Linked DNA regions of Schizosaccharomyces pombe. Changing the gene in region 2 together with the main gene of any one other region gives a genetic interaction. Each region holds a gene or a part of one and is shown on either strand. Other genes may lie near its edges.

What was found. A genetic interaction does not mean that the proteins touch.
Region 1: mutations in crr1 (region 2) and ubc6 together harm fitness less than expected from each alone (positive genetic interaction), as found in Schizosaccharomyces pombe (one large-scale study listed by BioGRID).

Annotation. Positions count from the first base shown.
Region 1 is NC_003424.3:1,214,288-1,219,975, reverse strand, and holds ubc6 (ubiquitin conjugating enzyme Ubc6), read left to right. Parts: upstream 1-4,027; 5' UTR 4,028-4,047; coding exon 4,048-4,074; exon of another isoform or gene 4,075-4,114; coding exon 4,115-4,253; exon of another isoform or gene 4,254-4,337; coding exon 4,338-4,855; 3' UTR 4,856-5,188; downstream 5,189-5,688. Other genes in the region: Ino80 complex HMG box subunit Nht1, read left to right, coding at 1-309; protein mug94, read left to right, coding at 1,089-1,655; RNA-binding protein Vip1, read right to left, coding at 2,032-2,805; RCC domain-containing protein Ats1, read right to left, coding at 5,195-5,688. UniProt on the Schizosaccharomyces pombe protein: Catalyzes the covalent attachment of ubiquitin to other proteins. Functions in degradation of misfolded or regulated proteins localized in the endoplasmic reticulum (ER) lumen or membrane via the ubiquitin-proteasome system.
Region 2 is NC_003423.3:1,654,561-1,663,195, reverse strand, and holds crr1 (glycosyl hydrolase family Crr1), read left to right. Parts: upstream 1-4,119; 5' UTR 4,120-4,750; coding exon 4,751-6,010; 3' UTR 6,011-6,139; downstream 6,140-8,635. Other genes in the region: wat1 (TORC1/2 complex WD repeat protein Wat1/Lst8), read right to left, coding at 1-249; myosin-binding vezatin family protein Inp2, read right to left, coding at 807-2,075, 2,130-2,242, 2,303-2,333; SPOM_SPBC21B10.08C (uncharacterized protein), read right to left, coding at 6,419-6,946, 7,182-7,250.

The sequences.
Region 1 (5,688 bases), on a different chromosome or scaffold from region 2:
GAGAAGAAACCTTATCATGAAGGATTGCTTGCAGCGCGTGAGAAGGCCAGAGAAGCAAGACGTCGACGAAGTGCGCAAAATTCAGCAAAACTAGAGAAAGAGAAAGCTAAAGAAAAGCAAAAGGATAAAGATCAAGAACAAGACACTGTTAGTGATAAAAATCAGATAGATGAGATAGAAAAAGGGCAGAAGGAAGTAGATGAAGAACCTGTTTCTGAACCCACCACTTCGCCTATTTTACCTCCAAAAAATCAAGAGCCAATTCGTATGGGAGGATTCACCGTTGTTAATAGATCCTCTAATGCTTAAAAAGAGCTTTCTGATGCAGGCATCAGATCAATGAGGCAATGCTTAAACTTTGTGTCTCAATATTAAAGGTTGGATTAGAAACTAATAGTTTGTCCACAATATATTTTCCTCCTCCTTGCCATTTGCAAAACTTTTTCAAGGTTCCGTTTTCTCTTCACATTATTTACTACCATTTATTCTTTTTTTTTGACTTAAAGTCATAAGATTATCAAAGCAAAAATTTTGAAAGACAATTAAGCGAATGTGTGATTTGAAAGTGGAATTAAGGCAATTACCAGCTGGTTTGTGATTAAACAATGACAACACGAGTTCGATTAATAAGTGTTTAATTTTTTTTTCTTTTTTTTCCAACTTTTTTTTGAAATACTGATTTGGAAAAGAGATTCGTGGTAACGACGAATGATTGTATTTTTTATCAGGGAGAAACTTTTTGCGATTATTTGAATATTTCTCTTCATTCTTTGATAATCTTTAATGATAAACTGTTGTATTTTTTATATATTTCTAACCCCAAGTCCTTTCTTATTTGCTGATTTGGTGTTTATAGAAGCCATCACTGTACGCTTGTTACTATGTTTACATTCACCGGAGTCCAAAATGTAAACACCATGGGTATTGTTTATGTTTACACTCCCTTTTTCTCCAAACATATTAATGATTTTGTGAACAGTTGTGTTTTCGTATTTTAGTGAAATTGCATATTACAAAATATCAAAACAGAAAAAAGAAAAAGCCAATATTAAGCGTGTATATTTTGTGAAACGTGAATAAAAAGAGCAATGGATTTCAACAAAATTGGTGACGAAAATGTCGTTTTCCAAATCTTTAAATTGGAGATGCTAATAATGTCGGAATTTCCTAGCTTTATCGAAGAAAAAGATAAACTTTTATGTCTCAACGTCTTAGCAAATCTTCTAGGAGGAATATTTGAAAACGAGGATAAAATAATTCCCAATTATAAAGAAGCCGTCATAGCGGCTCTCTTTGAACGTTTATTGCTATCTTCAAATCAAAAAAGTACCAGTAAAAGCAACCAAATGATTAAATTGCTAAACAATTCGTTAGCACATAATAACGGTTTGCCATCTCAAAGATGCAACCACGATTCAAAATTGGTGTATATGTCGTTAGTACAAAATAATGGTTTACCTGGTCAAAGAAGCAATTACGTTTGCTGTCCCTTATGCATGGAGCAGCACTGTATCGAACTGCTGACTTATCAGTTATTTGCAAAATGGCGAAATTTCCCAAGGATTGATTTTTCACCTGTTCTGCAAGGCAATCGGGGACCGCGATTCTTCTATACTTGTTTTCTGTGCAACTCAACGTTTTTAGCATCAGCGTGATGATTACGACAAATTTCTGCTAAAAGATGGATACATGAATTGCATCCAAATATAAATGATGATGAAAACTACTTATATATATCTTAATACTATCGTTATCTTTCATAGGTTTCACTCCAAAACATGCCAAATAAAAATGTATGTACTCGTTAAGCCAAAACAAATTACAAACTACAAACATACTCCTTTTTCCTTCAATATTGATAACATCATAGGGAATATAGACAGCAATTTTCCGATTAATGGGAGATAAATATCAGCGTATCTTATATAAATAACAATAAAAACTTCAATGAAAGCATTAATTATAATAATAATCGATAATACACTGAATCATTACAACCATCTGAAAAGAATAACAACAAGGTACTATAATTTACTCAGTGGTCTTTGACTCAGTGGTGGGAGCAGTAGGCTCCTTCTCAGCAGGGGCAGTAGGAGTGCTAGAAGCTGGGGAAGCCGTACCTTCAGCTTGGTTTTTGGCATCAGCAAGCCTACGAGCTTCGTTGTGGATGCCAAGCAACTGGTTTTTACCATCTTCATAGGCATTTTGAACCTTTTGTCCGGCAGAAGTGCCAGCAGCAGTTTCAAGAGCTTTGTGGAAATATGTGCTAACCAAAGAAGAGGTGCGGTTCAATTTGTCAGAAATGGCAAATTTATTATCAACCTCATTGGCCTTTTCGGTGACATGATAACGTTCGTTAACAGAACGAACGCCAGACAAAGCAGACTCGAGGATCCCCTTGAATTTTGAAGAAACGCCATAGCTTTGGTCTAGTTGAATACTCTTTTCCAAAGTTACATCGCTCAAATGATATCCGCGACTTAAAAGTTCAGAGATTATAGCTGAACGAGGCTTGTCTTCTTGACGAGCGGCTTGATCGCCTCCAGCACCTCCTTGATCGGTAGTAGAAGCAGCACCACCATCTTCACTGGTGATTTGGATTTTGTTTTGTCCAAGGAGAGCATCTTGCAAAAGTAAGGCCGTCTTGGTGGCGCTAGGGCGTTCAAATTGGATTTTCGCGGTTTGGGTTTCTCCAGATTTCTCGGTAGAGATGTTGGACACTTTACCGCAGAAAGAAAAGAAGTCTGAGATTTGTTTCTCAGTAACTTCAGGAGAGATGTTCGTTACAATAACTTGGTTGCTCATTACTTTTGTTTCAACTGGTAATATGGAGATTCAAAGTACGTTGAGTGCCATGGAGGCTGCTTTTAAGTAGTGATCATCGATGACGACATCCTCCCAATTACGATTAGATTGAGCCCAACGAAAAAACCACAAAAATGCAAAATTTCCTGACATTTCTAACTTGCCCTTAGCCTATATCACGGAAAGTTGACTTTGTGCTGCTTTGTTAATGCCACTACTTCATACTTTAAATCTGATATTACATTAATGAACGTGTGTTTTCAAAAGATTGCAATTATCGCGATAAGTGAGCCTAAATCAAAATGAAGCTGAAAATAGATGACAATTATCTTTTTATCTGAATATCACGATACAATTTTTATTGGTCACTGTAAACTAAATAGGATAACACTTAGATACTTTGCTGTACTCATGATTTCTTGACTTGGTATACTAGTTGGCTTTGTTCGTTGCATGGCAAAGTGCATAAATTGTGGAAAAAATATCCATTAAATTGCTATTACGAAGTAATTTCCGCTTCTACTATGTTTCGATAAATTCATAAACTTAGGACCGACATTAATTTTCCCGATATCGGCATATCCGGACAGTGAAAACTGATGTTTCTAGAAAACCGAATTTGCTGGATCGCCTTTACGGTCTTTCTAAAGAATGCGAAAGAAATATATGAATAGATTACCTCGCTTGTTCCTTTTCTCATGTTAGTCATCCAAATTGTTTCTTATTGAATAATGAGCAAAATTATCAGGTATATTGAGAAGGCAAGAGAAATATAAATGTTAGACCTACAATAAGTAAAACAAAGATAAGTTAAAGGCTTTCCTTGCTTCAAAGCATTTTTTAATCTATTTTCTCGATCTTACTTCCTCAATGTACATAGGTTAACAATATTTATATTTTACATTTGGGCTTAAGCTGCGTATAGAGAAAATAAAATATCATAAATATCATAGGTATATTGCTACAAAAGATAGAAATGAAAACCTCTTTTACAAGTAACTGTGTTATATTTACGAATTGGTGATTTGAATAAACCGTTGTACTTGAAGTTGGCACCTCACCTCGGAGTTTGTTGGTGTTTTATATTGATTAACCTACAAAGACACTTAGTCTAGTAGAGATTGTGCTTTGAATTTGTAAAAGACAAGAATCACCTAACTAGCCGCTAACCTGGTAATGTAACTGTGAGCGGATTATATGGTTACATGTTTTCTCACTTCCACAAACTTCACAAACACAACGATGGCGTCGAAAGGTGCTTATAAACGGGTATGGATTTATAATTTTAAGCTTCTTCTAATTATTTTAGTTAATGAAAGAATATCTAGCTCTTCAGAAAAACCCTGTTGAGCTTGTTGACGCTAAACCTGCAACTGAAAACATTTTGGAATGGCATTATATTATCACTGGCCCTCCGGACACTCCATATGAAGGAGGACAATATCATGGTATGTTTCTTTTAAATTTCCTTCTGTAATCAATATGTGCATGAACTTTTGGCTGTTGCCATCCTTTGCTAACTTTGCGTACAGGGACATTGATTTTTCCTCCCGATTATCCTTTTAAGCCACCTGCAATTCGCATGATTACTCCAAGCGGACGTTTCCAAACGAATACCAGACTTTGTCTTTCTTTTTCTGACTTCCATCCAAAATCCTGGAATCCCTCATGGATGGTTTCTACTATTCTGGTGGGACTCGTTTCTTTCATGACTTCTGATGAGATTACCACTGGAGGTATTGTAACTTCGGAGTCTACCAGGAGAACTTACGCAAAGGATACGAAGAGATTTAACATTATGGATAATCCTAAATTCTTAATAATGTTCCCCGAGTTAATTGACAAAAATAGGGAAGACATTGCCAAAGCAGCTGCTGAAGCGGCCCTAATCGAACCCCAACAAATTCACTCCACTCCTGTATCTTCCAATGAATGCAAGAAGAATGAACCGTTTAATTCAAAGCAAAGCTGGGTTAAAAGTCGCTGGAGCATAGCAGTTTTGGTGTTTTTTGCCCTTGCTTTAGCTCGTTTTTTTGGAGCTGATTCTTAAGATGTTATGCTTTGTATTTATTTTATTAACTTATGAAAGCGTTTTTGCATTTGATCCTCCGATAAAGAGATTAATGCCAAATAGCGCTTTGCCGTCCTTATATGTTTATTTTTTTTCTTTCGTTGCCTGTTGCCCCTTCATCTCTGCATCACATGTCGCGCTTCAATTAAAACTAAATGGAAGTTAATCTTTGTTCTAGTTTCTTTTTATAGACAATTGTCTCTTAGCAATTGCTTGATTTTTAGCTTACTAAACTACATTTTTTTAAATGTCGTCAAATGTTATTAAAGCTTCGACATTTCGGTAGAAAATAAAATTAAATTTTAGTTACTCAATTCATTATTTGTGATTTTCTTCAATCACTATCCAACTCGTTGCATATCCAGCGGCCACAATATAGGCCCAGCCTGGTAATTGAAGAGTTTTTGCATCATAAACATCTCTTTTATCATCATTCGAGGCATTTCCATGCTCATTCCAACCGTATATTAAAACACTTCCTTTCTTTGTCCTTAAAATATTGTGCTCAGTTCCACTGGCGATTTGGACGATATCACTTGCTTTTGTATGGGCCTTCTGAGCACGATCACAACGACCAAAAGCATAGACACAGCCTTCAGTACTTAATAGACTCAAGGTAGACCAGTTTGCTGATATAGAGCAGATGGAAGAAGACAATTCACTGTTATTTGCTTGCCAAGCATCACATTCTGCTGCTACATTCCACTTCTCCCCTCCTAAAACAATTACATGTCCTGTTTCTTGCAATACTGCACTGAACTGTACACCACATACAACAGCTTGAGCATGTTCAATACGCCCGAGAAATGAAA
Region 2 (8,635 bases):
GGTGTGCCCTTCAAAGGTCATTAATGGCATTTGACTACTAGTGTTTATGTCGTACAATCTTACATGAGGATTTCCGGCGGCTGCTAGAAACTTCTTATCAGGTGAAATACATAAACGATTTACCTGAGAGTCCGCATGTTGTATTGTTCTCGAGCATATTCCACTTAGGGCTTCCCAAAATCTAATGGTATGGTCATATCCACTGCTGACGAGCAGAACAGAATGTTGTGGTGGATACTGTACTGACATGTGGTTAAAGAATGGAGCGCTGTTATACTGTAGTTATTAAACAAACTCGAATACAGAGAGAATTAATGACTGAAAATTTTTAAAATCAATTAAATATGTTTATATTATATATTTAGTAAATTTTTTGTAGCATGACTTGTAAACGCACGATTGGCGATCTATACTTTAAATCTACAGCCATCAAAACTTTAAAAAATTTAACAGTTTTGACCATAAAAACAGGAAAATTCATAGAATAATAGTAAATTCATGTTAATTTAATTTTTTAAAAAATTGCGCCTGCAATAAGTAGCATAAGCATAAGTGTAAAGATAAACTGGTATAACTAAAATATTATACAGGACGAAAGGTTAAGGCAAATTTTTAAGCAACAAAGACATCATTGCTGAGTTGAACGACATTTAAACCTAGATAAATGTCGATTTGTAAATAGTTTATAATAACTATCCTAACTATTAAAACCAACAAGGTTCCGAAAGACGTATAACAGAAACGGACAATAATGGATAAAAAAGATCATAAAAGCAAAATATGGTTTAAAATTCTGAAAGCCAAAATTATTTACGCTTTCGGTGCATGTGTTGCAAGTTGAGAAGTAGTGCTCTATTAAAGTCCCATTCAGAGAGCAAATCTTTGAGCAGTAAACCAACTTGATCATATTCATCCATAGCATATGTCTGCATAGCTGTATTGTCTCCTTCTTGAATATATGAGCTGATAGACTCATGAGTTTCCATCATTACAGAGTGCAACTCGTTAAAAAGACTGCGCAAATTTTCTTTGCACATGATCCTGGGGAAAGGTTTGCTAGTAGTGTTATGTTGATTACGGTTGACCGATTCAACTGAAAACTTTAAGATGTCAACGAGACGAACCATCGACACAGACAATGCATTAGAGAGGTCACCTACCTCCCGGTGAACAATGAGCCATGAAGACCTTTCAGCTAAAAATGAATCAACCGGAAACGATAGTATGCAACATAGAACTTGCTTAGAGATTATAGTTAATTCATAATAAGCAGTTTTGATGTGATTGAGAATTTGGGTGGATTGGTCATCAAAGTCTTGGTTTTCTTTACGGGCTAGGTACATGGAACTCCGTTTTAAGCTTGTTGAGGAACCTTTTCGGAGGTCAAACGAATTTAATTTACCAAAGCAATTTGGAAGTCTATATAGTGATAATAGGTTTCTAAGGTTGGAAGCAGCTGCATACGGATATATTCTTGACAGAACCAGCTGGTATCTAGGTAAAAGCTTCTCATACAAACCAGACAGTTCGTAACTTAAAGTATTTTGTTCCGTAAGATTAAACAATAAAGGATCATTGGCAGGAAGGAAGTCCATTAACCGGGAGCGATTTGCTGCCGAATTTGCTTCCAATTCACAAATTTGGGAGTAAACACGATTAGATGTAGTTTCAAAATCATGCAATAGATTGACAAACTTATTTAAGCTGGATAATCCCATAATACGAATAAAATATGTCCAGCAATGACAAATCCGTATGAGCGAAGAGAAGCAAATATAAGATAAGGCTATTATCTTCACAAACTTTAGATAATGAAGACTTGCCATTGCAGATGATAATTTGTATAAAACAAAATCTATTACAATTTGTAAGCTCAGCAGATAGGCGAAGTATCTCCAAAACTTGCTCGTAGAACTGAACGATGAAGAAGGATAAACCAAAGAAGGCTGTTCTTCATGATGTGACCGCTGTAGCTCGTGATCTCCTACGAGGAGTTCAGATGTATAAATAATGTACTGAATGCTGTCAAAAAAATATTCGTTTTCTCGATCTTGTAAGTTTAGATTAACCGACCCCTGAAAATGTTCATTAGCATATTACAATAACTCAAACTATAAAATCAGACTAACCATTATGCAAGGCCATAGATAAATTGCCAAAAAAGAGATAAACCGATGCCATATAGCAAAAGCGTGCATGGAAATATACACTTTGTATCGAGTCCTCAGAGATGAATACAACCCTAGTGTATTGTGTCAGACAAGAAAGAAAGTCGAAAAGAACAGGAAAGCTTTTGTCTTACCATCGCGAGATAGTTGAGTATCTACGTTCATATCAAACCGTTCAGCCAAACATGGAAAGGCTTTGCTTGCGACACCCTGATAGACAGGAATTTTTTATACAGATGTAATGACAAACAATATGCTTTAAGCAGCAACTTAATTGTAGTTTAAAATCATATAGAAATACTTAAAATCAATGAGGGTTTGCACTTCAGGATAATGGTAAATGAAAATCACACTTCACGAAAATAAAACGCGTAAACCGTTAATCTTCAAAACTAAATAATACCGCTCAAATTACGCTGTTTTTCCGCTAATGTTCATAAGGGAAATGTTTGAATTCCGTAAAACTGTTAAGGATGCGCAGGGTGATGGTAAAAGATTTGATAGTATATGTTTATTTTGCAGAAATATTCGCCTTGACTATATACAAAGTACTTTTATAAACTAAATAGTGTTAGAAAAGTATAAAGAGAAGCTTCGATAGAAAATTATTTCAAGGTTAAAATGAATAACTCGTTGCATCAAATTAGTTTGAGGTGAAAGGAAGGATATGATTCGTAGAACTGCTAATTCTTCCTGAGAATGGTAAATGAACGGAAAGCGATTTTTGCAGTTTGAACACGATTTGATACATGAGAGCAATACAGTAATATTGTATATACAGATGGAGATAAGATTTGGTTGCGATTTAAATGGCAATGAAATAAAGATCTAATAAGATAACCATTAGTAAATTCTTAGCGAACCATGCTTTCCCACCTGCTAGTAGAAGATGTTTGCAATTCAGTAAACAAAGGTTATGAAAGTCACCAGTATAGCTAAATTAACAAAGTTAGCTGATCAATAATATTGAAATCTCATTAAATTACGATGATAATCTGTCTCTTCAATGAAATAAAAACTTAACACTGTGTAGATATTACGACGGCATGCAAAGAAACTGGAAACAGAGACAAGATATAGAGTTTACTAAAGTATTCAACCTATTCAGCGAATTTTAACAAATTCTTTTTCAATTTAGTGAGTTTACTTTTCAACAATTTTACAATTCATCAGTGAACTCTATACTTTTAAATCATTTGCAGTGAATGAAAATAGATCATGGATAATACTCGTACTTCGTTTTGTCTCATGATAATTTAAATACAAAAAGTTGACTTACAGTAGATAAACGTTAATCTACATAATAAATCATTGATGCAGGTTCAAATACTTCTTTCCCCTTCCAATGAATGAAGAAATCCTTTTGTGCTTTAGCCGCACTCAAGTGAAAAAACTCAGGGAAAAGAAAATAAAACGAAGAAAATGGTGATCTTCTTGTTGACGATTTCCTTGGCAAATTAATAAAACTATGCAAAGCGATTTATTAGTTACATGTATACACTAAGGCCATTGCACTATTGGACACGAGGGATCAACATGCCTTGCCTTTTTGGCAATACAATCACATTGCACTCTTTATGAATGTCGTCTACACAATATAAACATATTAACGATTTGCATTGAAATGTCATGTTATGATCAAATTATAATCTTATGCATGCCGCTTCAGATAATGGCTGGTAAAAATTATTATAAAGAGTTATTTGTTTAATAAATAACAATGCAAGAATTAATTACAACACACTGAGACAAGAATTCTCTGTTTATTTTTATAAATTTTTTTATCTATAAAAGAAGTATAATCGCTTTTAAACTCTTGCTTAATGCTGCCGGTTTGATCGGTATTATAACTAATTGACCGAGAACATATGACGAATAGTGAGAATTACTGTAGCGTAACATTTACTAGCAGTAAGCTTCCTTCATAGAATTTTTCAAAAGCACAATCGTGGATTCTCCCACTTACGTGAACGGATTTTGTCTTTTAGTATAAGCCACAATTTCTGGTATCCGCATTCGCAGCCATCATTTCTCAGACATATATTTGCTTTAAGAAGACCCAGTATTTGGCTGCATTAGTATATAATCGCATTTACATGTAAAATCTTGCCTAGTCAGTAAGATTACAGAATCGTTCTTTTAGAGAGGCTGATTTCATAAGTCTGTGTATGTGCGTGTCTATATACTGAAATATATAAATACACTTATAATTAAAGCTGGTTGGCTTTTTATCCTTTCTTTGTATATCACTGCATATTTTTTGTCCATATTATAAACTCCCTATCTATCGTCTTTCGATAATAATTATTTTCATTTTAAACCGCATTTCTCATCTCTACAAAGCATTATCCCATATTTCCCTTTTTTATTCCCCTTTAACAAGATATCCTTGAGTTTGGTTATTTTTACTAGCATTTTATTTCCATTTCTGAACTTGGTGCATAGCTCACCAGATTGGCATTTTTTTATTTGATCGTGTCTCATTACTTCCCGCTCTTTTTATTCTTATCTTTTCTTTCTTTTTGATTTTTCTCGCCCTTCTTTAATTTGTTGAAATTTGATTAACTTTTATTACTTTTGCAATGGGTATTCCTGATTCCACTACAGATTCACGCCATAGTCTCTCATCTGCTGCGTTGTCCTCTGCTAGCTTTGAGAATATTTACGACCCGGCACGCAAGAACGAGTCAACTAATGATGTTATCGACAATCATACAGACACTGAAATTGATGATCACGATAATGACCATGAAAACCTTGATAGCAATAATAATAACGAAAACAATGAAGCCTTTAACGAAAAGGCTGCAGAGAAAAAGTTATTGCCTTGGTACCGACGTTACTTTATTTGGATATTAATTTTTATAGTCGCTTTAATTTGTAGTGTTCTCATTGGTGTCTTGGGTGGTGTCTTGGGACATCGTACCGCTGTACGAGATCGCCATCCTTCTTACAAAGCTAAAACATATAGCCTTGTTAAAGAATATAAAGGCACCACATTCTTCGACGGCTTTGATTTTATGAACATTACTGATCCCACCCATGGCTTCGTACAATACCTTGACCGTAACAGCAGTGCTAAGCTTGGTCTAATTAGCGCGAATAGTTCCAACGTCATTATGGCCGCCGATAGTAAGCACAATTATAGCAGTGGTCGCCCTTCTATTCGTCTTCAGAGTACCCAGTACTTTGAACATGGACTCTTTATTTTGGATCTTATACACTTGCCTTATGGTTGCGGCACATGGCCCGCATTTTGGACTCTTGGTGATGACTGGCCCAATGGTGGTGAAATTGATATCGTTGAAGGTGTCAACGTGGGTACTAGTAATCAAGTCACTTTGCATACAGGTGACGGTTGTGAAATGGAAGATATCAAGCGAGTTATGACTGGTACTGCATTACAAACTAATTGTTGGGTTGATGCTCCAAACTCGTATAATGCTGGCTGTGGTGTTGAAAATCCTAGTGGTCCTTCTTATGGTGAAGCTTTCAACAAAAATGGAGGCGGTGTATTTGTTCTTGATTGGCGTAGTGAAGGTATTCGATCGTGGTTTTTTAATCGTTCTGAAATTCCATCTGACATTACTTCTGGTTCTCCCCAACCTGCTAAATGGAGTGAACCCGTAGCTGACTTTCCAGATACCAAATGCGATATCGACAAAATGTTTTCAAAGCAAAAAATATTATTTGATTTGACATTTTGTGGTGATTGGGCAGGTTCTTCAGTTTATTCATCAGCAGGATGCCCCGGTTCGTGCAACGACTTTGTTGGTAATAATCCTCATAATTTTACTGAAGCATACTGGAATATCAAAAGCTTGGCCGTTTATCAATACTAAACCCCCTTCTTTTTTCTTTTTGATGAATTTTCTTGATTATATAGGCATAACATTAACATTGCATGCGTGATATCATCTCGATATATTGTGTGTAAATAAAATACATTTTGATTAGAACTTGAAGTAGAGAAACATTTTTTCGCATGTGTTTAGCAAAATGCGTAAAATAGTAATAAGCCTAAGTTTTGTCTGAAATTATGCGAGCTTGAATTTTTTAATAACTTGTGTTCTAATGCCATCGTTTACAAAGTAAATTTCGGTCTTAAAATTTCAATAAATTCACTACGCTAATTGATTAATAATATAGGGTTTAGGAATATTCATATAAGGTACTCTTCAGAAATATCAAAAGGTTTGGGATTCGTATATGTTGTAAAAACGTTTGTTCATTTCTGTTGCAAAATACATCTAAGGGCGGTTTAAGAAACCAACGCCAGAATAAATCACTTGCTGAGAAACAGAAGTAGCACCAGAAATTTCAGCAGGACCAGGCTCAATACCACTCTTGGAGTATCTGGTAACGACAGCATATAGGCTAGGATCATCCAAGGAATGAATAATCAAACTTGTGTCAGCTTTAGGATTAACGGTGAGCTGTTGCTTAAGAGTAGCAGAATCGCCAGTATATTCGGTATACAAAACATAGTCCTTGGCATCTGGGCCTAAGTTGTCCTTATCTAAATGACCATCAACAACCTTAAAATTCAATAGTTGCAAAGGCTCTGCCAAAGGAGCATGAGTAGAGGTCAAATAATTGGCAAAAGCAAGGAAGGGATTTGAGGTTTTGTGAGAATTCTCTAATACCTCCTTTGAATCATACAGCTCAAGACCAAAGATATAATCAGGGTTTTTAGCATCACGAGCGAAATAATAGGTTTTAGTGAAGGGTTCTGATTTCAATACATGCTCATTAACTTTACTCAAAAGGTCAAGGATCTGTACATATAGTTAGTAAAGGATTCAAGAAAAGGATAAATTCCTGAACAAAAGCAAACAACAATTACAGTAATGAGAGTAGATTTCTATTACAGCACAGAAGATTTAAACTGACATGTCGTGGCATCTCATTTATTTCCAACTTTACAATGCAGTTGAGATAGACATTTCTCAATTCACCACGCTTATTCTATAAACACCTTGATAATGCTTTTGCATTCAATTTTTAACTCACCTTATCACCTTCACCCTTCTTACCGATAATTTTGGCAATGTAGACGTGAGTACTAGCAGGGAAACTCATAATTCTTTAACAACTATATAACTTATTGTCAAATGCTTTTGGGCAGTTAATTCGTATGAAGTAGTATATTTGTAGTCAGTCACGTGACGGGTTGCATAGAAAATGAAAGAATGCGATCGGGTAAATCGCGGACTTGATGTCAAACCAACCAAACTAGGTATTAAAGTATTCATAATTTTAAGCAAAAGGTTCCATAATTACGGATAGATTACGATAGGAATGCAAAAATAACCTTGATTATGCTACTGTTCTCCAACGTGTCGAACAAACACTTCTTGACGATCAATAGAATTATTATATAATATAGTTGTAATTGGTCATATAAAAATTTGAGAATTGACCTGTCGACCTTGACAAGTCTACGTATTCTACGAAGTTCCATAATTTTTATATGAACAAAGTCTACATAGTACAGCAACTAGTTTCGGTCAGTCAACCGTTCGTAAATTTGAGAGCTTTCATCAGCAATATCATAAGTCTAAGACCACTGGTTTCAAATTTATCCAAATAGTTTGTAAATTAATGCATCCAAAAAGTGTACTGTTCAAAGACATTACTTTTGTTAAACACAATCGCTATGCTACTACTCCCTTCGCTTACTCCGCGACTTGTGAAATATTTGACACTAGCGAAATTATAATTAGTAGTTTTTTGAAACATGTTTACAAAGCCGTTAATTTGAGGATAATTAAAAAAATGTATAGTTAATCATAAAAAATAGTCTGTTCTTTTTTCAAGCGTTTACAATAAAACATATGCAATTTAATATATGCTGATCATTATATTAAGGTTATCTTGAGTAGTAAAATAGGGAAATGCGAACGAAAATCCAACTTTAACAGATTTTCAAAGTGCCCAACTAACCGTATTTTTATAATCATCTTTTTTTTTGGAAGTGAAGTGCTTTTTTACGCTAACCATTTAAACAGATACTTTGAAGAGACATATTATAGAAAACAAATAGTAACTAACACCATTTATTTACAATGCTAAGGTTTTTTCTACAAATTTATTCATATATTTTATCATTGAAAAAAGCAACCATTCTACAAGAAAATCGTATTGTAAGATAGCATATTATCCGTTAGCCATGCAGTTGGTATTATTGTTTTGATGGTACGCTAAACGAAATGGGATTTTAAATCGTGATCTATTTAAAGCGGTAAACAGGTATCAAGTATATTCGTATGAAGGTAATACTTTTATTTGTCACTGAAAATAGCTCATGTCTAAACATGAAGCATGACTTCAGTAGGTTTGCTTAATAAGTATTTTAATAATAATAACAATACTTAGAATCTATTTTGTATAGCGAATGAATAAATAGAACGCTATTATATAACGAGGTTAACGTAATATGTTACTGCTGTCGTTATCAACGAAAT